2 linked regions of the Macaca fascicularis genome follow. The protein of the gene in region 2 purifies or fractionates together with the protein of the main gene of each other region. This does not show direct contact. Links are inferred from orthologs where the notes say so. Each region holds a gene or a part of one and is shown on either strand. Other genes may lie near its edges.

Region 1 (15,740 bases), on a different chromosome or scaffold from region 2:
ATTCTGATCTTGGTGGATTTCCACCTTATCCTGGCCCAATGCATCTCCATGCTGACAACTGCCAAGTCTGCATCTCCCCCTGGCTACTCACCTGCACCAGATTCTGACTTCCAAGCTGCCTGCTGGTCCCTTCCATTCTCATGCCTCAACAGTCAACCAAATCTAACCGGCCATAAACGAGGCTTCCTGATTGCCCTGTCACACAAGTTTTCCTCCTAGGCACCAAACAGCAAAGCCTCAGTCATCTCCGAGCCTTCATGGCCTCCATTAAATCTGCCTTTACGACTTGTTGATCACTCCATGAAAGAAAATGCTAGGCCCCATGTTGGTGAAATAAAATCCTTCTGAGGGCCAGATTCAGCCCACAGGTCAACAGTCCACCACTACCTCTGGTCCATACTGTTCACTTTGGTATTTAATTATATAACCACTAAGATTGCTTTTTAAAACTTCAATGTACATTTTTGAATAGATAATATGGTCATGATACAAATCCAAAGGAATAAAGGAAAATTAAGCGGAAAAAAAAAATCTTCCCTTCCATGTCCTCCAGCCACTCAGATTCCCTGCACAGAAGTAACCATTATCAGAACTATCTAACCATGGTTGGGCAAGGTGGCTCACGCCTGTAATCCCAGCACTTTGGGAGGCTGACAGCCAACGCAAGTGGGTCGCTTGAAGCCAGGAATTTGACACCAGCCTGAACAACATGGCAAAACCGTCTCTACCAAAAATACAAAAAAAAATAGCCAGGCCTGGTGGCGCGTGCCTGTAGTCCTAGCTACTAGGGGAGCTGAGGCAGGAAAATCACTTAAACCCAGAAAACGGAGGTTGCAGTGAGTGGAGATCATACCACTACACTCCGGCCTGGGTGACAGGGCAAGACTCTGTCTCAAGAAAAAAAAAAAAAGGGTAACTATTTAACCATGATGTATTATAACCCTTATAAAACTCCCCAAAAGTAAGAACTATATCTCATGTCCATTGAGGGTAAAGTACAGGCCCTCAAAAAATACCTAAGTATGGAGGAGAATCTGACTCTAATAACACTATGTGATGCAAAGCCACCAACAATCTTTTTGCTGCTAACGGCAGTGGGTGATCTCGGCTCACTGCAAGCTCTGTCTCCCAGGTTTACGCCATTCTCCTGCCTCACCCTCCCAAGTAGCTGAGACTACAGGTGCCCGCCACCACGCCCGGCTAATTTTTTATATTTTTAGTAGAGACGGGGCTTCACTGTGTTAGCCAGGATGATCTCAATATCCTGATCTCGTGATCCACCCACCTCGGCCTCCCAAAGTGCTGGGATTACAGGCATAAGCCACCGCGCCCGGCCACAGTATTTCAATCCTTATTTTGTGTGTCTTCTTTATGACATTTATTAATCTGCTGGATATAATCTGCTTGTCCTTCCAAATCCACTCTCCATCTCTCCCTGCTGTGCTCTGAGATCCAGGAAGAACCTGAATGGACTGCATAAGTGGGCTCCCTGGTTGGAGTTCAGCCGGTGAGAGATGGTGCCAGGAGATCCAGAAGGTACTTTGAAATCAACAATCGACATGTCTACTGGGCATGGTGGCTTATGCCTGTAATCCCAGCACTTTGGGAGGCCAAGGTGGGCGGATCACTTGAAGTCGGGAATTCAAGACCAGTCTAACATGGAGAAACCCTGTCTCTACATGGGTTTCACCGTGTTAGCCAGGATGGTCTCGATCTCCTGACCTCACGATCCGCCCGCCTCGGCCTCCCAAAGTGCTGGGATCACAGGCGTGAGCTACTGCGCCGGCCCCACCTCTACTGATTTCTATCCTAGAATGACCACACCTGTATTGACTGGTACTTGTCTTTCTCCCATTACTAAATCACAGGGTTTGAAAGTCAGCATGGGCCGGGCGCGGTGGCTCAAGCCTGTAATCCCAGCACTTTGGGAGGCCGAGGCAGGCGGATCACAAGGTCAGGAGATCGAGACCACAGTGAAACCCCGTCTCTACTAAAAATACAAAAAATTAGCCGGGCGCGGTGGCGGGCGCCTGTAGTCCCAGCTACTCAGGAGGCTGAGGCAGGAGAATGGCGGGAACCCGGGAGGCGGAGCTTGCAGTGAGCCGAGATCGCGCCACTGCACTCCAGCCTGGGCAACAGCGTGAGACTCCGTCTCAAAAAAAAAAAAAAAAAAAAAAAAAAAAAGAAAGTCAGCATGGTGGTCAGGTCTTTGCATGCCCAGGACTCTGCTCAGTATCTGGCATGGAGTAGGTACTTAATAAATATTTCTTTTTTAAAATGATTATACCTCAGATATGATCACATCAATAAACATTTACTAAAGAAACAGCTATGAGTAAATAAACTTGAGAACACTTTAAAAACAGAACAAATAATGTTAATTGTAGAATCTAGTTTAGTATATGGTGTTCTAGCCTTTCTGTATGTTTAAAAATGTTTATGGGCTGGGCGCGATGGCTCATGCCTGTAATGCCAGAACTTTGGGAGGCTGAGGTGGGCGAATCGTGAGTTCAGGAGTTCAAGACCAGCCTGGCCAACATGGTGAAACCCCATCTCTACTAAAAATACAAAAAATTAGCGGGCGCCTATAATCCCAGGTACTTGGGAGGCTGAGACAGGAGAATCACTTGAACCTGGGAGGTGGAGGTTGCAGTGAGCCTAGATCACGCCACTGTACTTTAGCCTAGGCGACAGTGTGAGACCCTGTCTCAACAACAACAAAAATGTTTATAATAAAATGTTGGGTGGAGGGGAATCACACAGATAGATATGCCCTAAACTGCTCACGTTTTTTAAAAAGCAAGTTGAATGGCATGACAGAATACTAGAACAAAAAAAAGAGAGAAAAATGATCTCCATCTCCTCAGCACTGCCCTTGCTGCGGTTCCCTGAAATGTTTCCTTTCCTTCCTGCCTTCCCTCCTGGTTTTCTGCCATTTCCCCTCCCGACCTTTTTCTCCCTGTCCTGCTGCCTGCACTTCCCCTCTATCTACACACACACACACACACACACACACACACACACACACACACACAAAACACATTCTCCTGTAGTAAAGCCGAGGATTTGGGCCAGGCTGTTATTACCTGAGCAATCATCAGAAGTGGGGACTACGTTGATCTGGACAGTTTCAAATGAGGATGTTGGGTCATCTCCCAGGAGACACAGTGGGGGTGCCAAGGACTCTGTCTTCACATGGAGCACCTCCCCTACCCCAAGAGCCTGGGTGAGAGTTGGTGTGGGGCAGGAGGCAGAAAGAAGGGCAAAAAACACGGGAGATGTTGACAGTAAGAGCAAGAACAAAAAGCTTTAGAAGTTTAGGGCTTACAAGCCATCAATTATTTGACATTCTGGTCTGAATGGTACTGAGCATCTTTCTATCCTGTTCATTCTTTCTACTTTATTTCTGGGAGAACTGATGAAGTCTCATGATTTCAAATATGGCCTTAGAGTGGACAACTTGGGCAAGAACAGTTCCAGAATTCTCAGCAGTTAATAACTCTCTTCTTCCCAGCCCCACATAACTCTTTATATTAAAAAGACCCCAGATCAGGCGTGGTGGCTTATACCTGTAATCCAAGCACTTTGGGATGCCAAGGTGGGAGGATCACTTGAGCCTAGGAGTTTAAGACCACTCTGGGCAACATAGGAAGACCCCATTTTTACAAACAATAATAAAAAAAATTAGCCAGGCATGGTGGCATGTGTCTATGGTCCCAGCTACTCAAAAGGCTGAGGCAGGAGGATCATCTGAGCTCAGGAGATCAAGGCTACAGTAAGCCGTGACCATGTCACTACACTGTAGTTTGGGTGACAGAGGGAGGCCCTATCTCAAAAAAAAAAAGAAAAAACAAAAAACATCTTCACTGCTAGATAACCAAAAGGGATGTGGAAAATGAGGATATTAAGGAAATGGCAAAGTTAGTGGAGAAGGCCCCCCACACCTCACACACCTCATGACTCACAGTACACAAATCATTTAAATCACTTCTTTGTCACCCACGGGTGAAGGGAATGAAATAGAGTCCCTGCCACAGAGAGTAGGCGGGATATGGCTCTCACCTCGCTGGAGGGCTCTGTGGAGAGATGTGATGACTCGGAGCTGCGGGAGGAGGAAGAGCAGGGGGAAGACGGCTCAGACTTCACCTGAAGATCTGGAGGAAAGGGAGTTAGAAATTATCAGGAAGCAGTTTGAGAAGAGTCCAAAAAGTACCCAAGGACATGTCTGTGGGGATTCCCGCACCACAGCGAGGGAGAAGAAACAAAAATTGGGGATTGAAGGAGAGAGGATAGGCACTTACCTAGAGGTGTGAGAATATAGGAAGCTACGTAGTTTCTGGGAAACAGTGGGAAATGAGGGTTTCTGGAAAGCTGAGGGAACCACAAAGTCTACCTTACCTGGCAAGATCGGCAGGAGTTCCCATGGGGGCTCAGGGGGGCTGACATCCATCCCCATGTCCAGGGAGCTGCCGTCAAACTAAATAACGGAGGATATAAGAGGACAGGAGTGTGAGAAAGGGTGAGAAAGTAGGGGTGACTCCAGATGAGCTCTGGCCTGTGAATGAGTCCAGGTTCTGGGCTCACTTTCCACCCACTAAGGGTTAGAGAAAGGCTGGGGGACACAATACCGGGACATCCTGCTCGGGGCAACGGAAGAGCTGCGTCTGCTCCTCGGCCACTTCATCTAGGCCAGAATACAAGGTGCTGTCTGCAAAGAATACCGAGTGTCAGGGGGGTCGTTTAGTGGGCCCAGCCTACAGATCGCACACAAGCCCCCGCCCCATCCCTCATTGGCTCCGCTCGGCCAGACCCACCGCCCGCCCACTTGAAAAGTGATACAACCAGAGGACTTCAGCCCCTCCTTCTCCGACCCCGGAACAACTCGACGTTCCAGCAGGGAGCAGTTCTTCCCCGACTTTTGTATCCCCTTAATGCACAACGATCCCCCTGTTCCGCCCTCCTTCAGATGGCGGATTCCGTATTTGCCCAGACTTCCTCTTTAGGCCTCTGCTTCTTTCCCGCGTGCCTCAGGGACACAGTTTGCCATAGCCCCCTCCCCTCCCCGGGGCCTCACTCTGCAGACCCCAGTCCTCCGGGCTCAGCAGGTTGTCGGCGAAGAAACGCGTCGGGTCGGCAATCTCGCTGAGGAGCATCAGCTCCGCCATCTTTCCCCCCCACCCCCCAACCATGAGACGGTTCCCAAGGCCCGCCTCTCCCCATTACCAACTAATCAGTTGACTCTTTTAAAAAAGGGGGCGTCCCGGAAGCCCTACCGACCAGTAAGAGACCTGGATGCTGAGCACGTGAATCAACAGACGCGGATGGCTGTGTAGGCGGGCCCAATGGGAGCACTGCAGCAGGAAGTAACTTCCAGACAGTGCCAGACCGCCAAGCGCATGCGCCAAACAGGCTCCAGTGATAAAGAGCCTGGGAGATGTAGTACCCAGTATTAAGGTCCACCATCTCCCCCAGCCACTAAGTTTAGTTTAGACAGCTTCTGTGTGTCTTCGGAGATAGCTAAGTCCCTCAAAAGGGGCGCAGTGGGACCACTGCTACCTCCTCTAGGAAGCCAAAAGCTGAGAATGGGATATGGGCTGAAACCTTCCCTCTGGCCCCCTAACCCCAAATCTCACAGCACAGACGACAATTCACAAGTTCCTGTCTCTTTTAAGGTTTAACTTTTAATCAGCCAAACATCTTGCGCAGACCCTGAGCCAGCCCAGCATCCTGCTTCTTCCCCTGAATGACCACCTTCCCCAGTTCCTCTTGGGCTGCCCGGTTTTTGGGATCTATCGCCAGCACCTTCTTGAGGTCAGCAGTTGCTTTTTCCAGGTTCCCAAGGGCAGCCTGGGCAACCCCCCTTCGGTATAAGGCCTTTAAATGGCCAGGCTCTCGCTCCAACACCCGGTCACAGCTCTGGGCTGCCAACTGAGGCTGCCCTAGCAACAACTGACAGGCAGCCAGATTGGCATGAAGGACAGTTCGTTCTGGAGGGCCAGGTGGGGGTAAAGTCAGCAGCAGCCGAAGAGCCCGTCCATAGCATCGGGCAGCTCCTTCAGCGTTCCCAGCTCGAAATAGTTCTGTGCCCCTTGCACGTTCTTCCCTGGCCAGCGCTTCCTTCTCGCTAGTCTCCAGCTCCCAGGAGTCCCGGCCTTGAGTGAAGGACGCCAGTGTGAGCCTGACAGGAGGTCCAGAGTGCCCAGGCAGCTGAAGCTCTGCTTCTTCACCTTGACACATGGACTCCAAGCATTTCTCTATGAGCTCCCCCCAAGTTTCCTCTCTCCATGGCCCTACGCCCATTGTTAGCTCTGTCCAGCCCTCTGGCGGCCCTGATCCGAAAGGAAACCCCAAAGCCAGTACCCGGCAGCAGGAGCCTAGTTTGGGTTTGTCCAAGCCATGGCCACGGATTATGATCTTCTTGACAAAGCTCCCGTCGGGACAGTACCAGAGATCAGAAGCTTGAAGGGCCTCTGACATCTGACTGGTTGATCCATGAGACTTATGAGAGTCTCCTTCAAGTTCAGCAACCAGTTTTTCAGTTCCTTGAGTATTCTCTAGAATTTGGCTGGCTGGATCTGGGCTTACTCCCAGCTCAAGTGTTTCGGTAGGAGGGTCTCGGGGCTGCTGCCTAATCTGAGTAATTGAATCAAAGTTCTCCCGAAGGTTCTTTTCCCACTGTTGTTGCGGCTGAGAGGTGTCCTTTTCTCCAGTTGTACTGACTGCTGGCGTCTCCATTTGAATGCTTGGTCCCTTCCACCATGAGTGAACAGTTTTGGTCAGAAAGGGATGAATCAGGTTCAGGTCAGCACCTGTAAAGAAAACCAAACAATGCTAATAGCAGGGTTCTTATTTAGACTCCTTTCTCGTTCTTTCCTATTCTTCTGAGACCCAGGCCCCCAGTCCTCAAAGTCCCCAATATTACTTTCCTCCAAAAATCTGCTCGAGCTTCCCCGTTCCACCCATATATAACTTAGAACTATATATTCCACAATTCCCTGCGGTTAAGGTAGCCGCGCCAACTACGGACACCCGGTCGGGTCAATAAGTACCTCCGCGGCCAAAGTGGCTAGCATGGTGGCAGGAGGAGCCGGGCCACGGGAATCACCTCTCCTTCCAAAGCTAAATGGTTACTGAATACTGCCCTCGGAGCCTTGCCCCACGCGGAGAGGGCAGCCGCAGAGGGGAGGGGGGCGGAACAACTGGGAAAGATACTGACGACTAACCCTGGAGTTCGCGAGACTCCGAATCTAGTCAAATTCCTGGCAGCCAATCGGGAGGAGGGAGGAACTGTTTAGCCCGCCTATTGAACGTGACATCATTTCCTCCGCAACCATGAAGCTCTAGGCCTTAGCAACTGAGCAACTGAACTAGGCCAGAGCAACAGAACTAGGCAGAATCGAACAGAATTTGGCGAGGTCGGGCTGGCCAGGCCAGAATCAAAGTGAGCCAACATGGTGAGACCCTGTCTCTACTAAAAATACAAAAATTAGTAGGTCATGGTGGCGCGCGCCTGTAATCCCAACTACTCAGGAGGCTGAGACAGGAGCATAGCTTGAACTCGGGAGGCAGAAGTTGCAGTGAGCCGAGATCACACCGTTGCACTCCAGCCTGGGCGACAGAGGGAGACTCCAGACTGCGTCTCAAAAAAAAAAAAAAAAAAAAAAAAAAAAAAAAGTGGGCCGGGCGTGGTGGCTCACGCCTGTAATCCCAGCAGTTTGGGAGGCCGAGGCGGGCGGATCACTTGAGGTCAGGAGTTCAAGAACAGCCTGGACAAAATGGTGAAACCCCGTCTCTACTAAAAATACAAAAATTAGCCGGGCATGGTGGCGGGCGCCTGTATGCGAGCTACCCGGGTGACTGAGGCAGGAGAATGGCTTACCTGGGAGGCAGAGGTTGCAGTGAGCTGAGATCGCGCCATTGCACTCCAGCCTGGGCGACTGAGACTCTGGGAGGCCGAGGTGGGCGGATTACTAGGTCAGGAGATCGAGACCATCCTGGCCAACATGGTGAAATCTTGTCTCAACTAAAAACACAAAAAATTACCTGGGCGTGGTGGCTTTCACTTGCGTCCGTGTGAAGAGACCACCAAACAGGCTTCGTGGGACCAATAAAGCTTTTTAATCACCTGGGTGCAGGCGGACTGAGTCCGAAAAGAGAGTCAGCGAAGGGAGATGGGGTGGGGCCATTTTATAGGATTTGAGTAGGTAAAGGAAAATTACCGTCAAAGGGGATTGTTCTCTGGCGGGCAGGGGTGGGGGTCACAAGGTGCTCAGTGGGGGAGCTTTTGAGCCAGGAGAAGGAATTTCACAAGGTAATGTCATCGGTTAAGGCAGAAACAGGCCATTTTCACTTCTTTTGTGATTTTCCAGTTACTTCAGGCCATCTGGGTATACGTGTAGTCACAGGGGGTATGATGGCTTAGCTTGGGCTCAGAGGCCTGACAGTGAAGTGTGCCTGTAACCTCAGCTATGCTGGGGTGGGAGAATTGCTTGAACCAGGGAGTGGGAGGTTGCAGTGAGCCAAGATCCTGCCACTGCAATCCAGCCTGGCGACAGAGCAAGACTCCCTCTCAAAAAAAAAAAAAAAAAAAAAAAGAGCCGGGCATTGTGGCGCACGGCGGTAATCCCAGGCGGCGGGGGGTGGGGAGCGGATCACTTGAGGTCAGGAGTTGGAGACCAGCCTGGACAACATGGTGAAATCCAGCCTCTACTAAAATTACAAAAAAAAAAAAAAAATTTGCCTGGCATAAGGCACATCTGTAATCTCAGCTACTCGGAGGCTGAGGCAGGAGAATCGCATGAACCCAGGAAGCGGAGGTTGCGGTGAGCCCAGATCGCGCCAGGGCAACTCCAGCCTGGGCGACAGAGTGAGATTCCGTCTCAAAAAAAAATTAAAAAAAAAAAAAAAAAAAAAAAAAAAAAAGGCCAGGCGCGGTGGCTCACGCCTGTAATCCCAGCACTTTGGGAGGCCGAGGCGGGCGGATCACGAGGTCAGGAGATCGACACCATCCTGGCTAACACGGTGAAAACCCGTCTCTATTAAAAATACAAAAAATTAGCGGGGCGTGGTGGCAGGCGCCTATAGTCCCAGCTACTCGGGAGGCTGAGGCAGGAGAATGGCGGGAACCCAGAAGGCGGAGCTTGCAGTGAGCCAAGATCATGCCACTGCACTCCAGCCTGGGCAACAGCGCGAGACTCCGTCTCAAAAAAAAAAAAAAGTCAAAGTGTAGAGAAGTCCTGGAATGGAGACTGGGGCAGATGATGATAGAGTGGAGAATGGCAGAGGTGGTGGTAAGTGATAGTGGCAGCAGCCTTTTATCTGGAGACTTCAGGCCCTCCTATGTTAACTATCTTTATGTTTCGGAGCTCATTCAGTACAGGGTATTCAAAGATAAACCCTCGGGACTCTCTCTCCAACCGACCTTGTTCCTTGACTGCCTGAGGCTTCTCTTCACCTTTCCTTTCACATCCATCATTGCCTTTCAAGCCCTCCTTCATCAAGAAATCTTAGTGCTTTTCAAACATAAGTGTGCATACATATCACCTAGGAAACTTGTTAAATTGCAGATTATGATTTAGGAAGTCTGGCGTGGGGCATGTGATTCTGCATTTCAATAAGTTGGTTAATGCAGATGCTGCTGGTTCATGAACCACACTTTTTTAATTTTTATTTTTAGAGAGATGGGGTCTCCCCATGTTTACCAGGCTGGTCTCAAACTCCTGGCCTCAGGCTATCCTCCCATCTCAGCCTCCCAAAGTGCTGGGATTATAGGTGTGAGCTACCACACCCAGCAATGAACCAATGGGATGAGATTCTAGAATGGTCTCATCCCATTGTTTCTCCCCTGGCTCTGTGCCCTTTTAGTTTATCCTACATTTTGCATATATAACTGGTGTAACCTGCTCCACTGGGTGTAGCAGCTACTCCTCCTAATAGAAGATCTAGAGACCTATTGTGATTCAGTCTTGCTTGTCCAGCTACCTACACAGCCTGGGCTACCACAGTTCTCCAGGAAAGAAGGATCCTACTCTGAGTACCTCACTTTGGCTCCCTCTTCAGTTTGCTCTCACCATTGTGCCTCAGACTATAACGACCATGCCAGGACAGCCAGGAAGGGAGACAGTTTCATCATTAGCCAAAGACTGGTGTCAAAACAATTCCCTCCCTGGTTTTTTTGTTTTTGTTTTTGTTTTTGTTTTTGTTTTGTTTTGAGACGGAGTACCACTCTGTCGCCCAGGCTGGAGTGTAATGGCAAGATCTCAGCCCACTACAACCTCTGCCTCCCGGGTTCAAGCGATTCTCCTGCCTCAGCTTCCCAAGTAGCTGGGATGACAGGCACCTGCCACCATGCCTGGCTAATTTTTGTATTTTTAGTGAAGATGGGGTTTTACCGTGTCGACCAGGCTGGTCTCAAACTCCCAACCAGAAGTGATCCGCCCACCTCAGCTTCCCAAAGTGTTGAGATTACAGGCGTGAGCCACGGCACCAAGACAGGCAGATCACTTTAGGTCAGGAGTTTGAGACCAGCCTGGCCAACATGGTGAAACCCCATCTCTACTAAAAATACAAAAATTATCTGGGCATGGTGGCGGGCACCTGTAGTCCCAGCTACTCGGGAGGCCGAGGCAGGAGAATCGCTTGAACCCAGGAGGCGGAGGTTACCGTGAGCTGAGATGGTGCCACTGCACTCCAACCTGGCGCCAGAGCGAGACTCCTCAAAACAAACAAACAAACAAACCAGAAAAATAAAAAGAAAAAAGAAAAATAAATGGAAGAGATTAATTGCAGGTGGAGGAAGCAGCACAAGGCGGGAGAAGTAAGGAAAGCCACTTAACACCCAGGATTATTCCTCTCCAGTTTGTGAGTCTCAGTTTTCCCAGGCTACTCCAATACTCCTTTGTGCTGCCCTGTCACCAGGCATTGAGCTGGTTGGAAGTTTTTACACTCTCACATTCCCCTGCATTCCATACTCACCACATGGAACCATATGCTGTACTTACTCTCTTCCATTTATTATCTGCACAAGAGACAAAAATTCTAGCTTTCCAAAAGCTAAATAAATTTCCCCTTCTGTTTAGCTTTGGTGGTTTCTGTGGCTTCTAGTTTTGTTGGGATTTGTGTCAAAATCGTTCCTCCCTCCTTTTTGGCCCCAAAGCATTTTACTGTGCTTCCCTTATAGGCAGGGTTTTCAAGCAGGAGGGAGGCAGCCTTTTCGGCAGTGAAGTGTTTAATGATAACAGCTTCACTTTACCAAACGCTGGCCATGCATTATGATCATAATACCCAGCATTGTTCTAAATGTCTTGTATATATTAGCTTATTTTCCTCTCACACAACTCTATGAACTGCTTATCCATTCAGTCATTCAAGGAATTTGTTTGTTTGGTTGGTTTTTGTTCTTGTTGTTGTTTTGAGATGGCATCTTGCTCTGTCACCCAGGCTGGAGTGTGGGGAAAAGAAAGAGATCAGCCTGTTACTGTGTCTATATAGAAAGAAGTAGACGTAAGAGACTCCATTTTGTTCTGTATTTGAGATGCTGTTAATCTGTGACCCTACCCCCAACCTTGTCCTTGCAAGAGACATGTGCTGTGGTAACTCAAGGTTTAATGGATTTTGGGCGTGCAGGGTGTGACTTTGTTCCTAGAAAAGCTAGGTATTGTCCAAGGTTTATCCCCATGTGATAGGATGAAACAATGTTGCTAAAAGGTTTATCTCAAGGCACAGGATTTTCCTTTAAACTTATTCATGTCACAGATCCTTGTTCTTATGTCTTACTGCTAATTTCCTCCCTAAAAATGATCCTATTGTCCTGCCACTCCCTTATCTTTAAGATGGTAAAGATAATTATCTATAAATACTAAGGGAACTCAGAGGCCGGTGCCGGCGTGGGTCCTCTGTAAGCTGAGCGCCGGTCCCCTGGGCCCCCGCTTTTCTTTCTCTATACTTTGTCTCTGTGTCTTATTTCTTTTCTCAAGTCTCTCGTTCCACCTAACGAGAAACACCCACAGGTGTGGAGGGGCAGGCCACCCCTTCATCTGGTGCCCAACGTGGAAGCTTTTCTCTAAGGTGAAGGTACGCTGGAGCGTGGTCATTGAGGACAAGTCGACGAGAGACTCCCGAGTACGTCTACAGTCAGCCTTGCGGTAAGCTTGTGCGCTCGGAAGAACCTAGGGTAACAATGGGGCAAACTAAGAGTAAATATGCCTCCTATCGCAGCTTTATTAAAATTCTCTTAAAAAGAGGGGGAGTTAAAGTCTCTACCAAAAATCTAATTACGCTGTTTCAAACAATAGAGCAGTTTTGTCCATGGTTTCCGGAACAGGGAACTTTAGATCTAAAAGATTGGGAAAAAATTGGCAAAGAATTAAAACAAGCAAGCAGGGAAGGTAAAATCATTCCGCTCACAGTATGGAATGATTGGGTCATTATTAAAGTAGCTTTAGAACCGTTGCAAACAGAAGAAGATAGCGTTCCAATTTCTGATGTCCCTAAAAGCTGTGCAGTAGATTGTGAAAAAGAGGCAAGGATAGAATCCTGGAAAGGAAAGGAAAGTTCACACTGTGAATGTGTATCAGAGCCGGCTATGGCTCGGTCAACGCAAAATGTTGACGATAATCAATTACAGGAGGTAGTATATCCTGAAACGTTAAAATTAGAAGAAAAAAATCCAGAATTAGCAGAGCCATCAGAGTCTAAACCACGATGGCCAACTGCTCTTCCAGCAGCTCAAATGCCTGTAACTTTACAACCTCAAATGCAGGTTAAACAAGTACAAACTGCAAAAGAAGATCAAATAGAAAAAGATAGAGTTTCTGTCATGGCAATGCCATTCCAAATGCAGTGTCCACAATATCAGCCGGTAGAAGATAAGACCCAGCCGCCAGTAGCCTATCAATACTGGCTGCCAGCCGAACTGTGGTATCGGTTGCCCCCAGAAAATCCGTGTGGACAGCCAGGAACATTTCTAGCGCCACAGGGCAGGGTACCATATCCTCAAGCGCCCACCATGAGACTTAATCCTACAGCACTGCCTAGTACACAGGGTAGTGCGTTACATAAAATTATTGATGAGGCAAGAAAACAAGGAGATATTGAGGCGTGGCAATTCCCAGTAATATTAGAAGCAAGACCACCTGGAGAAGGGGCCCAAGAGGGAGAGCTTCCCGTAGCTGAAGCCAGATATAAGTCCTTTTCTATAAAAATGCTAAAAGAAATGAAAGAAGGAGTAAAACAGTATGGACCCAACTCTCCTTACATGAGAACATTATTAGATTCCATTGCTCATGGACATAGACTCATTCCTTATGATTGGGAGATTCTGGCAAAATCCTCACTCTCACCCTCTCAATTTTTACAATTTAAGACTTGGTGGATTGATGGGGCACAAGTACAGGTCCGAAAAAATAGGACTGCCAATCCTCCAATTGACATAGATGCAGATCAACTATTAGGAATAGGTCAAAATTGGAGCACTGTTGACCAACAAGTAATAATGCCAAATGAGGCCATTGAGCAAATCAGGGCTATCTGCCTTAGGGCCTGGGAGAAAATCCAAGACCCAGGAACCGCCTGCCCCTCCTTTAATACAATAAGACAAGGCTCTAAAGAGCCCTACCCTGATTTTGTAGCAAGACTTCAAGATGCTGCTCAAAAGTCAATTACCGATGAGAATGCCCGTAAGGTCATAGTGGAGTTGATGGCATATGAAAACGCCAATCCTGATTGTCAATCAGCCATTAAGCCATTAAAAGGAAGGGTTCCCGCAGGATCAGATGTAATCTCAGAGTACGTTAAAGCCTGCGATGGAATTGGAGGAGCTATACATAAAGCTATGCTTATGGCTCAAGCAATCACAGGAGTCGCTTTAGGAGGACAGGTTAGAACATTTGGGGGAAGATGTTATAATTGTGGTCAAATTGGTCATCTAAAAAAGAATTGCCTAGTCTCAAATAAACAAAATGTAACTACTCAAGCTACTACAAGAACAGATAAAGAGCCACCTGGCCTATGTCCAAGATGTAAAAAGGGAAAACATTGGGCTAATCAATGTCGTTCTAAATTTGATAAAAATGGGCAACCACTGTCGGGAAACGAGAGGAGGGGCCAGCCTCAGGCCCCGCAACAAACTGGGGCATTCCAAATTCAGCCCTTTGTTCCTCAGGGTTTTCAGGAACAACAACCCCCACTGCCACAAGTGTCTCAGGGAATAAGCCAGTTATCACAATACAGCAATTATCCCCCGCCACAAGCGGCAGTGCAGCAGTAGATTTATGCACCATACAAGCAGTCTCTCTGCTTCCAGGGGAGCCTCCACAAAAAATCCCCACAGGGGTATATGGCCCATTGCCTAAGGGGACTGTAGGACTAATCTTAGGAAGATCAAGTTTAAATCTAAAAGGAGTTCAAATTCATACTGGTGTGGTTGATTCAGACTTTAAAGGCGAAATTCAATTGGTTATTAGTTCCTCAATTCCTTGGAGTGCCAGTCCAGGAGACAGGATTGCTCAATTATTACTCCTACCTTATATTAAAGTTGGAAACAGTGAGATAAAAAGAACAGGAGGGTTCGGAAGCACTGATCCAACAGGAAAGGCTGCATATTGGGCAAATCTGGTCTCTGAGAGCAGACCTGTGTGTAAGGCCATCATTCAAGGAAAAGAGTTTGAAGGGTTGGTAGACACTGGAGCAGATGTCTCTGTCATTGCTTTAAATCAGTGGCCAAAAAATTGGCCTAAACAAAAGGCTGTTACAAGACTTGTCGGCGCAGGCACAGCTTCAGAAGTGTACGAAAGTACAATGATTTTACATTGTTTAGGACCAGATAATCAAGAAAGTACTTCCCATGTTAAAAAACATTTATTATCTTGTTTTGCTGTAATGGGAGTTCCAGAAAAAATTAAAACTGACAATGGACCAGGTTATTGTAGTAAAGCTTTCCAAAAATTCTTAAATCAGTGGAATATTACACATACAACAGGAATTCCTTATAATTCCCAAGGACAGGCCATAGTTGAAAGAACTAATAGAACACTCGAAACTCAGTTAGTTAAACAAAAAAAAGGGGGAGACAGTAAGGAGTGTACCACTCCTCAGATGCAGCTTAATCTAGCACTCTATACTTTAAATTTTTTAAACATTTATAGAAATCAGACTACTACTTCTGCAGAACAACATCTTACTGGTAAAAAGAACAGTCCACAGGAAGGAAAACTGATTTGGTGGAAAGACAACAAAAATAAGACATGGGAAATAGGGAAGGTGATAACCTGGGGAAGAGGTTTTGCTTGTGTTTCACCAGGAGAAAATCAGCTTCCTGTTTGGATACCCACTAGACATTTGAAGTTCTACAATGAACCCATCGGAGATGCAAAGAAAAGCGCCTCCACGGAGACGGAAACACTGCAATCGAGCACCATTGACTAACGAACAAGCCTTCATCACCATGGCACATTTATATAGAGGAAAAGGGAGGGAGAACGTTGCGGGAAGTCAGGGACCTTGAACGCAGGGACTGGCTGAAGCCACGGCAGAAAAACATAAAATGTGAAGATTTCATGGACATTTATTAGTTCTCCAAAATTAATACTTTTGTAATTTCTTATGTCTGTCTTTACTTTAATCTTTTAATTCTATCATCTTCTTTGTAAACTGAGGAGGATATATGTCACCTCAGGACCCTGTGATGATTGCCTTAACTGCACAAATTGTTTGTGGAGCATGTGTGTTTGAACAATATGAAA
Region 2 (15,172 bases):
AATGAAAAAACCCTTCATGATCTTGGGGTAGACAAATATTTTTCAACCAGGAAACCAAAAGCACCAATCAAAAGAAGGCAATAGATAAATTAGGGTCATTAAAATTAAGATATTCTCAGGCCAGATGCTGTAGCTCATGCCTGTAATACCAGCACTTTAGGAGGCCGAGGCAGGAGGATGGCTTGAGCCTAGGAGTCTGAGAACAGCCTGGGGCAATATAGCAAGATTCTGTCTCTACAAAAACAAATACATGAATTAGCTGCACATGGTGGCATGCACCTGTAGTCCTAGCAACTTGGGAGGCTGAGGCAGCATTGCTTGAGCCCCAGAATTTGAGGCTGCACTGAGCTATGATCACACCAGTGCACTCTAGCCTGGGCAACAGCACAAGACCCTGTCTCTATAAAGTAAATAAATAAATAAAATTAAGATATTCTCTTCATTAAAATCACCAGTAAGAGTGTGAAAAGGCAAGCCACAGACTGAGAGAGCATATATCCCAAAAATAACTAGTATTGAGAATATATAAAGAACTTGTAAAAATAAGAAATGACACATCCCAGAAAGAAAATGGAGAAAGATGAAGCACTTCATGAAAGAGGAGATCCAAGTGGTCAGTCAGCACACATAAAAACATTGCTTCACATCATTGGTCACCAGGATAATGCAAATTAAACTACAATGAGCTAATACTACAGGCCCACTAGAATGGCTATTTAAAAAAAAGAAATGAAAATCAACAAACCTGGCAGTAACAAGAGCCATGGGCATGTTGGAGCAATCGGAACTCTCATTTCCTGCTAAGAGTGTAAATTGGTACAACTACTTTGGAGAAGTGTTTTGGCAGTTTTTACTAAAGTGGAATATAAGTACATCCTGTGGCTCAGCAGGCTTTACTAGATATGCACTGAAAGGTATAGTACGTACACCAAAACCATGTACTAGAATGTTTATGGCAGCACTATTCATAAAATCCCCAAACTGTAAACAATGCAAAATCCCACCAAAAGTTAACAATATCATGTATATATAAATTATTACATATTTGTATAACAGAATACATCAATAAAAAGAACAAAACCCTACTACATGCAGAAATGGACAAATCTCATAGATGTAATGTTGAGTGAAATAAACCAAACGCAAAAATATACATAAGTTACTATATTTATGTAGGCAAAACTAAATGATGGAAATAAAAGTTAGATTGTAGTTACCTTTGAGGGAACACTGAGCAGAAGCACAAAGTAGCTGTTGGAGGTGCTGATTATGTTCTAGATCTTGAGCTGGGTGATAGTTACATAACCCTATTCACTTTGAAGAATTCACGAAGATTTCTGAATTTTACTTTGTGTATGCTATAGTTCTATAAAATTATACAAAAATTAAGAATATTTTATTTAGAAAAAATGTCTAAAAATATTTTTACTCATAAAAATGTGGTTTATTTGATCAAATTAAAAAATATGCACAAAACAAACATAAAGAAGGGCTGGGCACCATGGCTCACACCTATAATCCCAGCACCTTTGGAGGCCAAGGCAGGAGGATTGCTTGAGGCCAGGAGTTTAAAACCAGCCTGGTCAACATAGCAAGACTCTGTCTCTATAAAAGAAAAATAAAAAAATTAGCTGGGCGTGGTGGCTTGCACTGTAGTCTTAGCTACGCAGAAGGCAGAGGCTGGAGGATCAGTTGAGTCCAGGAGTTCAAGGCTGCAGTGAGTCATGATCGCACCACTGTACTCTAGCCTTGGTGATAGAGCAAGACCCTCTCTCAAAAACAAACAAAAAAAAGCAATTACTGTCTTCCTCTTTTTTCTTCATTACCAAAAACCTTAAAGATAATCTATCAATTTTAGTAACAATATTGATTTAGGTGGTTTATTTCCTTCTTTCTCCTTCTAAATGGCTTTTGATTTTTTTAATTTCCAATCGTTATATGTGTGTCTTCAATTATATACCAATGCATATTCTCTTGAAAGAAGTTACTGATGCAAATAAGTATGAAAGGTACTGTTTTAGGTATGAACTGTGGTTTCCATTTTTCTCTTTTTAACTTTTTTTTAGGTTCAGGGGTACATTTGCTGTATGGGAAAATTACATGTTGCAGGAGTTTGGTGTACAAATTATGTCATCACCCAGGTAATAAGCATAGTACTCCATAGTTTTTCAATCCTTACCAAAAAAACTAAAAATGAACAACAAAAACAGAATGAAAAAACCCCAGGATAGTTGGCTTATCCTTTAAAAATTTCAATTACACATACGTCACTTAATGATGGGGGTATCTGAGAAATGTGTTACTAGGCAATTTCATCCTTGTTCAAATATCAGAATGCACTTACACAAACCTAGGTGGCGTAGCCTACTACACACCTAGGCTACTTGGTATAGCTTATTGCTCCTAGGCTACAAACCTGTAGAACATGTTACTATACTGCATATGTAGGCAGTTGTAACACAAGGAAAGTATTTGTGTATCTTAAGAAATCTAAACATAGAGAAGGTACAGTAAAAATATGGTATAGTTGACTTTAAAAGGTACACCTGTAGAGTGTGTACTTCATAAATGGAGCTTGAAGAACTTGGTGTTTCTTTGAGTGGGTTAGTGAGTGAGTGGTGGGCAAATGTGATGGCCTAAGATATTACTGAACACTACTATAGACTTTATCAACACTACTGACTTAGGCTGCACTAAATTTATGCAAACATATTTTTCTTTCTTCAATAATAAATTACCCTTAGCTTACTGTACTTTTTTGACTTTATAAACTTTTAATTTTTAAAAACATTTTAACTCTTGTAATAACACTTAGCTTAAAATGCAAACACCTTGTATAGCTATGCAAAACTATTTTTTTCTTTATAGCCTCATTCTATGAGCTTTTTTGTATTTTCAATATGCATTATTTATATATTTTTTTACTTTTTAAACTTTTTTGTTAAAAACAAAGGCACAAACACATACTTAGTCTAGGCCAACAGAGGGTCATCATGATCACTGTCCTCTCCCTCCACATCTTGTCCTCTGGGAGGTGTTCAGGGGCAATAACACTCACGGAGTTACTCCTATGTCATCTCCTATGGTAATAATGCCTTCTTCTGGAATACCCCCTGAAGGACCTGCCTGAAACTGTTTTACGGTTCACTTTTTTTAATAAGTGGAAGAATACCATAAAATAATGACCGGAAGTATATTATAGTAAATTCATAAACCGGTAACATAGTTGTTTATTATCATTATCCAGTGTTATGTTCTGTACATAGTTGTATGTAAATATGACTGGCAGTGCAGTAGGTATGTTTACATTTAGCATCACCTCAAACATGTGAGTAATGTGTTGTGCTATGACATAATGACAACTACAACATCACTAGGTGATAGGATATATTTAGCTCCATTATAATTTCATGAGATCACTGTCAGTGTAGGCGATGCATCATTGACCCAAGCCTGACTGTAAATGGAAAAGACCAACATGACCACTAGATGGAGACAAAACCCAAGACTAAAGTTTTCTAATAAAAAGTTACACATTCATGTAAAAAAATGAAGTCTTAAAGAAATAAAAAGTTTTAGTATATTACCAGAGTAAATAGGTTACTTCATGTTACTTGTGCTTAATTCTATAGATCTAAAACAGGTCTCAAGAAATCATCTCAGTTTGTCTTACAGCACAACCAAATAAACAATGGAATGTTGAATGCTACCGTTTCTCTTCGGAAAAGTAGATGCTAAAACCACTTTGGTAGCCTCTTCTAGGTTCTAACAGTCCTGATTTAAATGAAAAGCCAGCCAAATCCTTCTTATATAGTAATAAACAATGGGACATTGAATGCTATCGTTTTTCTTTGGAAAAGTAGATGCTAAAACCACTTTGGTACCCTCTTTTAGGTTCTAACAGTCCTGATTTAAATTAAAAGCCAACCAAATCCTTCTTATATAGTAACTAGCTATCTTTTCAAATTTCTTGAATCCTGCCAAATGGACTAATTATTTTAAAGCAATTATTTTGTTTCCCATTCTGTCATTTAATGGAGAGATTGCACCTTCTGATTATAAAGGATGTGTTACTTGGAATTTTAAAATTCCAGTGAATTGGTGAAATGTATTTTTTTAAATAACAGGCCCCCCCTGAAGATATATCCCTAGAATTTGAGGATGAGTTCATCTTATGCTTGCCATGGAAAATAATAAAAGAATAAAATGAGTTATTTCTGGATATCTATTTTTAAAAATCAACTTCATAAAAATATAATTTATGTACAAAAACCCTACATTACTCTTTAAAACCCAGTGACTTTGACAGTTGTGTACACCTGCAAAATCATTACCACAATCAAGCTATGGTGTATTTCCATCACCTCCAAAAGGTTCTCTCTGCCCTTTTGTAGTCCAACCTCTGTCCCTGTGACCAAGAAACCACTGAACTGCTTTCTGCCTATAAATGAGTTCATGTTTTTTCCAAGAATATATTCAGTTGTTCCAGCACCATTTGTTTAAGAGAACGTCCCACTGCATTCCTTGACACCTTTGTCAAAAATTAATTGATCATCTATATCTGAATTTATTTCTAGACTGTATTCTGTTCTATGGATCCACATGTCCATCCACCAATACTACACTGTCTCAATACTGTTGTTTCATAGCTAGTCTTAAAATCAGGTTGTAAAAATCCTGACTTTAACGTTTTCTTTTTCTTTTTGACACGGAGTCTCACTCTGTTGCCCAGGCTGGAGTGCAGCGGCGTGATCTTGGTTCACTGCAGCCTCCGCCTCCTGGATTCAAGGAAAAGCAATTATCCTGCCTCAGCCTCCCGAGTAGCTGGGACTACAGGGGTGTGCCACCATGCCCGGTTAATTTTTTTTTTTTTTTTGTATTTTCAGTAGAGATGGGGTTTCACCGTGTTGGCCAGGATGCTCTTGATCTCCTGATCTCGTGATCTGCCCACCTCGGCCTCCCAAAGTGTTGGGATTACAGGTGTGAGCCTGTTTTCTTTTTAAATATTGCTTTGGCTCTTAGGATTTTCAACTACTAGGATTTTTGCTTATCTATGTTTGTGTGCCATAAAATGCAATTCTCTCCTTGTTGCATGAGTCCTCTTATATGAGGTGTCTAAAATAGTCATGCTCCTAGAAACAGAAAGTAGAATGGTGGCTGCCAGGATCTGGGGCAAGGGAAAATGGGGAGTAGCTATTCAATGAGTATAAAGTTTTAGTTATACGAGATGAGTAATTTCTAGAGATCTGCTGTACAATCTAGAATCTCTGTAATTCTAGAGATCTATAAGCATTGTGCTTATAGATAAAAAAATACTATGCACTAAAATTTTAAGAGGGCAGATCTCATGTTAAGTGTTCACACAATAACAAAACAAGAAATTTGCACACATGTATGGAATCCTACATGGAAGGGGAATAAAATTAATAGATTTAGTGGCCAAGCATGCTGGCTCACACCTGTATTCCCAGCACTTTGGGAGGTCGAGGCCAGCAGATTACTTGAGGCCGGGAGTTCAAGACCAGCCTGGCCAACATAGTGAAACCCGGTCTCTACTAAAAACACAAAAAATTAGCTGGGCATGGTAGCACACGCCTGTAATCCCAGCTACTTGGGAAGCTGAGGCATGAGAATCACTGGAACCTAGAAGGCAGAGGTTGCAGTGAGCCGAGATCGTGCCAGTGCACTCTAGCCTGGGCAATAGTGAGTCTATCTCAAAAAGAAAAAAAACAAAAATAAAAAAAAATTAAATAAATTTAGTTATAGCCTATGTACAACATATACTTTATATGTGGATAAATGGCAAGCATATTTAAAAGTAGATATAAGTAACTAAATTCAAAAAATATAAACTGCACCTTTAAAAGCAAACGCAGTTGCTTTTGCTCCTGATAGTAATTTTTATGTCCTCAAACCCTACTGTAAATAAACTACATAAAAATAATATTTAAGAAAATGGAATTTTGGTTATTATGATTGACAGACTAACTGGTGGTATATAGATAATATTCAAAAACACCACAGGTAAAAAGTTGTGATATTTGAACATGAGCTTTCTGGGAACGTAAGAAAATACACTACACATGCACCAAATGATGCATTCTTTAATCAACTTCACAAATACATGTCAAATACTAGTATGTGGTGAAGAGGAAAGGTGGTAGAACCAGATAGACAAACCTCCATCATGCGCACATAGCATGACAATGGGCAATCCGTGTAAGTTCTATAAGCCTGATTTCCTTTTTGTACAATGATATGTATCTCAGAGAGTTGTTGTGAGGCTCACATGGTATCACACAAGCGACGCACATACAGCATAGTTGGCCTACAGTGAGCACTCAGTTGTTAGCTATTGTCACAGAGGTTTGGTGTACCAATAAGAACGTTCATAAAGATCAGATGATTTCATTCATGCATTACATAAAAGATGACTGGAGGACATTGATAAACACATGTAGCTTTTTTTTTTTAAACAATATGATTTCAATGTATTTCATATTGAAATTTATTTTTAAAGTATTAAAGAAATTGACAAAATAAATTACACCATATGATTTTTACATTTAAATAACAAACTAGCCTACAACAAGATAGACATTATCCCTGATTTACATATGAGAAAATTGAGGTTTTTTTTTTTTTTTGCCCAAAGTCACCCACAGGTGGCACTGAGGATTTGAACTCAGTTTGTCTCACTCAAAGTGTAATGCTCTGTGTAACCATCCTTCTTTGCCTCCAGGGAATGACTCAGGCATGTAGATCTGTGCTTTCAATGGACTAGCCATTAGACAAACATGGCTGAGAACTTGAAATGTGACTAGTCTAAATTCAGATGTGCTTTAAAATACACCCTGCATTTTGAAGATTTACTATAAAAAAAAAATCTGAATAATTTTAAAATATTTCTTTCATATTTTGGATGTATTATCCTAATATATATACATATAATTAATTTTACCTGTTTTTGTTTTAATATTGCTCTTATGATTTTCCACTTCTAAGATTTTTGCTTATCTATGTTTGTGTGCCATAAAATGCAATTCTCTCCTTATTGCATGAGTCCTCTTATATGAGGTATCTAAAATAGTCATGCTAAAAACATAAAATTACATATGTGGCCCACATGTTTCTATGTGTTGGCACTGATTTAGATCATTTCCATTTAGGTTCTGAGAAGTAAAATTTTGGAGTTTCAAAGGGAAATTTCCAGGAATTTAAAACATCAATCAGCTACACTTAATCCTTCTTGGTTTACTCTCTTCTGAACTTAATAAGCATAGACCTTAAATATCCTTTAGAGAAAGCATTTCATATTGAACAAATTGAGTGGTCATCTAGCAACCCTACAGATGGACTGGAGCATCTTATGATAAACAAATTACAGGAAAGACATAATCAAGGATTTGGTGATCTTATTTCGTAGGTAGTTGCATAAATTCCTAGAGCCAGTGTAGGTAGGGTCAAGATGGTATATGTGTTGATCAGGAATCAAAAGTTGATCCAGAGATTTCATTTTGGTATAGGACATAAATCTCAGAATAGTCTCTGGGCTTCTTTTGATCATGATTTTCCAGCATAGTGTTAGATAACATAATAGATGTCAAATAATAAAAATAAATGTCTTCATATTATAGTATAAAGACTTTAAATCCCACCACTGTGGTAGGCTGTGGGTTGGAAGGCTCCCTGGAAAAGCGTATTTAAGATTCATAAAAGCAAAGCCAACTAGTTCCACTTTAGGCCTAAGAATTATGATATGAACCTTGAACATTCACAAAAATTATCTCTTCCTCAAGCATAGGTTAATCAAAATTAAGCCCTTAGTTATGAAAAACTCAGATTTCATTTTTTAATAAGTCTTCATACAGGCTTTTCAAGATTAGAGAAAATTCTGTTTGCAAACTGAGCTATTTAGCCTGCCTACACTGGAAAGTAGAAGTAATCCTTTCAAAGCACAATTAGTAACTGCCTTCTGTGGACAGAGCAGTCTAGTAAATGTTCTGGAAAGTATAAATGAAGCAGACAATACAAATTCTGCCCTCAGGGGTGGGATTTGTCTTATATGTAGAATTTGCTCTCTAGCATCAGTGAGTGTTGAGGTCTGAAAACAAGGGAGTAGACACATCTTAGGTCCTTATTGGAAACAAGACTTCTTTGGCTTCATACTTAAATGGAAAGTTTACATGGAAAATCATGGGTGCAATCCATTCTCAAATGAGAAAGGAGCCATCAGTTCTGTGACTTTCAGGCTAAGCAGCCTCATTCAGCAGTCTGCTTGGATAAATAAGGTCTTATTCTATCATCACTGCCTGTCAGCTGTACCTGTCATTTGGTGTCACTAACTTAGGCCAGATCAAACAGAAAGCAACCTCTTTCTGCCACAAAGCATCTCCCTAGGCAGAGCTCACAACATAAACTAAAGCACTAACTCTCAAGAGCCTGTTGCCACGATGATTCAGTTCATGTATTATCTCTGACTTTTCTGAGATCATCTAATAAGTTCTAACCAAAAATAAATATTTAATATTTCATTAAATAACATTATTACTTAGTCTAGGGTGACTGGGTTACATAGGATGGCTTGAAAGAGATAAGCCTTGGTGGACATTTAAAAAATTTAACTGAAGTAAAGAGCAATTGGTTTAGTTCTCTTCCCCTAGAGTGTTCTCATGTTGAGAAGACAAAACTCTGGGAACAATCACAGAGGGGCTAGGTACACAATGCAAAATTGCTGCTGGAGAAACTGAGAGAGTAGATATTAAATAACTAAGTGCACGCTGGATGAATAATGTTCTGGATCCAAGAAAGACATACACAGGTAAAAAATGAATTCATGCCTTTTGTGTTGTTGAAAACTTCTACTTTATTTTTCTCAAATATTTTTACTTATGCTTTTTGTCATTATCCACAGTGTTTTTTTTTTTTTTTAAGCCTGAGCCACTTTGTGGTTTTAGCCTCAATATAATCATCATCCCCTTACTCTTAGACTAATTCCTTTTCCCTTGTCACTTAGGCTTTGTATAGTTTGTAAAAATGAGGACCTTAGAAAATCAACATTTCCTGTGAACTTGAGAGACTATATGAGCAGCGCCCCAATCAGTAGGATTAGGCATGTAAAACCAGTTGGATAGCAGATATATTATGATCTGTTGGACAAAGGTATAGTTGTGTGCATGTCTACAAGGTCATTGTGATTTGCCATTAGCATAAGGATCATGTAGGTTGACCAGGGTGAGGTAGGACTATCCACAGGATTGTGTAAATTGTGGTAGGGGAGGCAGTATACAATATTCATGAATTAAACACCTCGCTAACTGCTTTCCTGAAAATGGTCTGTGTTCTAAAAGACAAAGATCTAGCTTTTTTGCTGTTTTTTTCTTTAACTTATGAAGATGCAAGCCACTAATACGTTACTTGCTCTAGTTTAAAGTGAAAGCAACTGGCTATGGTAAGGTAGAGAAGACAGCTAAATTGTATCAGAATATTTAAGACTTCTAAATTAAGTTCTGAGTTACCTCACCTTATAAAAATATATGTCAATATACTAAGTACTCAACAAAGATCCAGGATGTGGGATATTTAAAAATACATCTCTCTTGGATCAGCACCAAAAATATCAGTTTCTGTACAACCCGTGTCAAGTTTTTAAGTATACACACATTAAAATTAGTTCTGATAAAAAATCACGAACTCCACAGAAATCATTAAATATATATGCAAATTACTTTTAAATACATTCTGACATCAAAGTCAGGCAATTCACTTGGAAGAATGTTATAATGAATATCACTGAATTTTTGTAGTAAGATGTTTGACGTCAACTTTGATTATGGGAATACTTTATATCTCACACAAAGGAGGCACTGGTACTTAGAAACTTAAGAAAATTACTAGAATTGTTAAGACTGAGGTGAAGAATTTGTACAGCCTTCCACAATTTCAAAGAGGTAGTGATAGATACTTGTCCTCCTGGCAATATCACATGCAGTTTCTTCCAGGTTGTTTTTCAGCCCTGGTTTGACGTAACGGTTCATCAAGAGGAGTTCTAGGGTATCCTTGCTGTCTCTGTTTCCAGCAGCAAGATGCAAGGGGGTCAAGAGGCCTTTTGTTTGGGCATTGATATCTGCATCATGCTGCAGTAAGAAAGAAGCCACTCTGGTATTATTCCACTTACAAGCACTGTGCAGGGGCGTCCAGCCATCCACAGTCACTGCATGAACGTCTGCCCCCTGTGCAATGAGCTCCCGGACAATATCTAAGTGTCCACTGTAGGCTGCGCGATGAAGAGGGGTATACTCATCTTCATCCCTAGTGTTCACATGAGTGGCCTTTTCAGAAAGTAGTCTCCGCACTGTAGTCAGCTGAGAAGAAAAATGGAAATCTTTCAACTCAACTCAAACCAAAACAATAACCAAAACAAAATTTTCTTGTGGTGTTAGATTTAATTAGGTTGAATAAAAACTTGTTAGCAGATGACTTTAAAATGAAAATAATTTAAGATCTCTTTTTTGGGAGGAGAGGACTACTGGTGTGAGAATGAACAAGTTAGTGTTAACTATACTTTGTTGCTTCTAAGAATGAGATTCTCTGAATATCAAACCATACCCTTACTCCTGGTCCAGCTAAGGTTCATTGCATAAAAGCTTCAGTCCAATGAATATCATAGGTTTTAATTGTATTTAATATTTTATATGTTATCTGTGAAGAAAACATAACTGCTTGATTTTTCTATTGGATTATCACACCAATATATACACTGTATGAAACTTTTAAAAATAAAACTTTTAACAAAAGAATAAAGTATTAATAGGGAATTCTAGGGATTTAAGAGCTCAATTCCTTCTCAATACAACCTTAGAAACATCCTTTAAGGTTGTAATTTTTAGTTTGTTCTATGGGCCTCTGGTTAAATGTGGCATGCTCTTGGGTTAAAAAGCTATTTAAAATGCAAGACCCTTTTAGTTATTAGTTTACTAAAACAGACATGGGGAAACTTAGTAAAATTAGGTGGAAGTGGCCAAGCAGAGGGAATAGGCTTTTGATGTTCATTCCACTTGGATGATCCTGGGCAAATTAATATTCCTGAATCTCAATTTCTTACTCTATAAAAGAGAAGAGTATTACTTATAGAGATACATGAGGATTAAATAATGTAATAAGGTACCTGGTATAGTTAGTATTTAATAAATGTTAGTTTCCATCCTCTTTCCTAAATGATCCTAATGACTTTATATAAATGATTTTAAAATATAGATGATTGCTTGCTATCTTTCTAGATAATTATCCTTAAACCCCCAAATAATACCTAGCATGACACTTTGCAGCTTAATATGTGCTTTCATGTACATTGTCTCATTTGGTCCTCACAATCAAGAGATAGGTATGACGGCCATAACAGTAAAGGCAGGCCTTCTGGCTTGAACCCAGTGCTATTCCTACTGTCACACTTCCTTCTGTAATCTTTTTTTTTTACCCGATTTTTTTCAGCAGCCCAAAGAAGCAATTTGCTTGGGTCTTTTTCCATTTTTTTTTCTTGCAATCGATACCACTCTTCATTTTTGTCATCTTGCTCCTCATCTTCATCAGAATTGCCTACCCAAAGACTTTGAGTACCAGTAGGAATAAGGTGTCCATGTGTTTCCAACAATTCAAGTTGGTTAAAGTGTTCAGAAAAATCCAAGGAATTCTCTTGGTCTGGTATTCCATCATCATTTCCTTTTTCTTTTTCCATTTTTACTACTATTCTAAATAAAAAGCATTTCAAATGCCAGGGTATAATCTTCCTAGAGATAAATTATGACTGCTTTATTCATCAAGACCTGAAAACACAAATACAAAAGTTATTAGTAAAACAATAATTCAGGCTTTATCAACTGCATAGATAAGTCTCGCAAACATATACAATTAAACCCTGTGTAAACTCTTGTTTTTCTTACGGTATTCCTTACATACACTAAATACTGGTGCTGACAGAAAACAACGAAAGAAAGAAGCGTTAGACCACTATTAGATCACAGATGATCTTTAGTGGTCTAACGCTTCTTACTTTCGTTGTTTTCTTCTAAGTCAACTATATTATTATATAACTATTATTATTATTATATTATATATATATTTTTTTGAGACGGAGTCTCACTCTGTTGCCCAGGCTGGACTGCAGTGGCCGGATCTCAGCTCACTGCAAGCTCCGCCCCCCGGGTTCACGCCATTCTCCTGCCTCAGCCTCCCGAGTAGCCCGGACTACAGGCGCCCGCCACCTCGCCCGGCTAGTTTTTTGTATTTTTTAGTAGAGACAGGGTTTCACCGTGTTAGCCAGGATGGTCTTGATCTCCTGACCTCGTGATCCGCCCGTCTCGGCCTCCCAAAGTGCTGGGATTACAGGCTTGAGCCACCGCGCCCGGCCATAACTATTATTTTTAATCTACTGGTTTAGGTATGATGGTATTATGCTAAGAGTGATGAATGCTTGAAGGTTTTGAAGTATAACTAATACAGTGAAGAAGGTGCATTCAAGATTTTTATAAACTAGACACACAGATAATATAGAGCAGAAATAAAAACTTCTAATTCCTAAAAAAACTACTTGGAAGAATCAGGGATTCTTGAAGATGTTAGCCCCCAAAAGGACATCTGTCCCAATCTCTCATTGGAGCAGATATCTTTATCACAACATCTACACTAATTATCCTATGTCTACTTTGATAATTTCAGGCCTAGGAAAATTCACTGCTTTAAAAAGTAGTCCTATATATTGATAGGCAACTATAGTTCTTAGTTGGGTCCTTGTTTTCAACTGAATTTTGGCTGTCATTCATTCCTTCATTCAACTAATATGAATAGAATGTCTGGTATGTGTCAATTTCTGGGTACTGGGATTCAATAATGAGCAAGATCCTCAGGAAGCTTACTCTAGTGTAGGTGACTGGCAAAGACGTCATGTGACTGGCAAAGACAACATGGTAAGTACTACTACAAGACTTTATCTAGAAACCATGAGTATACAGGAAGTTCATAATTCCCCTAGTTCTAAGGGATTAAAGAAGGCTTCCTGAAGGAACTGATGTTTATTCTGTTAAGCCGTCATATTAATTTATAAACCAGTATCAGCTTAAAGAGTTACACAGCATATAAACCTTAATCAATTACAGAAAAGGAGAATAACCAATAGATAGTTTAAAAATACCAGTACCCAGCCTCCCAACTCTATTTGTCGAAATCTTATCAGTCTTTCAAGGCTCTTCTCAGATGTTATCTCTTCCATTCTTTCTTGATCCTCTCATTTAGATCACTTTCTGCTTTCTACTTTTTTTGGTGCTACATTGTATTTCACCACTAACTTTGTTCTTGTTTTTGCCCCTTAAAAGATTATAAGTTTAAAGATAATGACCACATTTAACTTATATTTATATCTCCTACTTGTCTATAGAAGGCATTAAGTATGTGTAGCATTATATTTAATTAAAGTCTTGTCGCTTGATTTTGCCTGGAATGGATTCTGAGAAGTTCCAGAGTTAGGCATACCCCCAAGATACTGATTTCTGGTACCTAATCTCACAAGTTTAACAGTATACAATCTTAATGTGGTATTAAATTTTATTACTAGTGGCAATAGCACTAAACTCAAGTTTAAATCTATTACTCACATCCAGTAACTTTTCTGGACCTGTTACTTTATTGTAAAATGTAAGAATTTTACTAAAGTGTTTCTAAGGTCAATCCGGCTTTTCAGTTACCCTTGGAATCAGAGACACCCAATCAGAATCGCTTTGTATTTTATTAATTCTCCTGGAGCTTCCACTTTTTCTTTGATTCTCAAACTAATTCCTGAACCTTGCAACACAAAAGTGACCATACATCAATTCATTAAACACTTAACAGAGGCTAAAAAATAAAAGTTCACTTGTAACTATATCAAATATAGTAACCTTATACCACAGATCTTATCCTCTTCCTCAACATGCTTTTCCTTTTAATAAAAACTCCCTTTATATAAATTTTGAGTTTACAGATTCAGATACAACAAATTATATATAAAATTTTACTGGTATATTTAGTTTAAAAAGCCAAACCTAGGCGCATCTACCCGATTCACAGTTAAAAACAAAACTGATTACTTGATGATGATATTCCTGATATTCCATCAGGAATATCAGGGTACGTTTCCTAACTTAAAGGGCATATCCTATTTTGAGAGAGATCCGAACTATGTCAACTCCTTACAAACAACTCAGTGATGGGGGTGGGGGGAGTATAAACCTTACAGATGAAGGAGGTTCAGATAGATAAAACAACTTGCCCTAGATCAAGGACCCTTCAGTGGAACTGAAAGGGCAGACGTTCTAATTCAAAAGTTCCACATTATTTTTCGCTGCACTATACTTCTGTTATCAGCACAAAGCAATGCAGCTGTGCTGAACTCAAGGACCTATGGGTGACACCTGTAGAGAGTCTGGCGAGTGGGAGGGAGGGAGAGGGGATCCAGCTTCGACACTCTGCCACAGGCCGGGAACTCACAGGCCCGCGAGCTCCGCCTGAGGCCTTCTAAATAGCCAATAGCGGAGAAGCGGCTTCAGCCCTACCTGGGGACCAGGACGCGGCCTGACCTGCAGGGCTCGGCCTGTGTCCACAGGCTACCCACCCGCACTGGCTCAGGAGTTCTTAGATGGCGCGGGTCCACCAGAAAGCGCGGTCCGGGACAGGGAGTAACTACCCACCTGACAGAAGGGAAAATCGCCGCCTTGCATCTCACTTCCGGGTTTGTCTCCTCGGCAGCTCAAGATTGGCTCCTGCGTGAGGGCGGGGCCTCGCCGCTACTTTCCCCGCCCCCTCACGGCGTGCGATAGCCAATGAGAACCGAACTGGACTTGAAGCGTCTACGTTTCCCATGAAGTGTCGCGAGAGAAACGGACGCCGTTCTCTCCCGCGGAATTCAGGTTTACGGCCCTGTGGGTTCTCAGAGGCAAGTTTGGACCGTGTTGTTTTCTTCTCACGGATCCTGCCCTTTCTTCCTGGAAAGAAGACAGCCTCAGGTCCCTATTGTGGGGCTTTGAAGAGTCCAGGAGTGGGGTAATTTAGGAATCGCATTCGTCTCCTGTTTCTGCAGGTTCCCAGGCTGAAGCCCAGAGTTAACTGGAACCTCGGAAAGAACGGGCCGAGTGGGCCGGGGAGG

The links.
Region 1: the proteins of ANKRD49 (region 2) and FKBPL purify together in Homo sapiens (affinity purification with mass spectrometry; 4 studies listed by BioGRID and IntAct, counting the BioPlex papers as one, with this or other methods). This does not show direct contact. The link is inferred for Macaca fascicularis from reciprocal best matches to the Homo sapiens genes ANKRD49 and FKBPL.

The regions. Positions count from the first base shown.
Region 1 is NC_088378.1:139,577,027-139,592,766, reverse strand, and holds FKBPL (FK506-binding protein-like), read right to left. Parts: upstream 7,899-15,740; 5' UTR 7,880-7,898; intron 7,269-7,879; exon of another isoform or gene 7,050-7,268; intron 6,810-7,049; 5' UTR 6,736-6,809; coding exon 5,686-6,735; 3' UTR 5,666-5,685; downstream 1-5,665. Other genes in the region: ATF6B (cyclic AMP-dependent transcription factor ATF-6 beta), read right to left, coding at 3,087-3,222, 4,063-4,154, 4,399-4,477, 4,629-4,708, 5,075-5,189. UniProt on the Homo sapiens protein: May be involved in response to X-ray. Regulates p21 protein stability by binding to Hsp90 and p21.
Region 2 is NC_088388.1:93,483,815-93,498,986, reverse strand, and holds ANKRD49 (ankyrin repeat domain-containing protein 49), read right to left. Parts: upstream 14,751-15,172; 5' UTR 14,642-14,750; exon of another isoform or gene 14,583-14,641; intron 11,823-14,582; 5' UTR 11,735-11,822; coding exon 11,477-11,734; intron 10,365-11,476; coding exon 9,903-10,364; 3' UTR 8,842-9,902; downstream 1-8,841. UniProt on the Homo sapiens protein: Induces HBG1 expression. May have a role in spermatogenesis where it promotes autophagy in response to serum starvation, via the NF-kappaB pathway.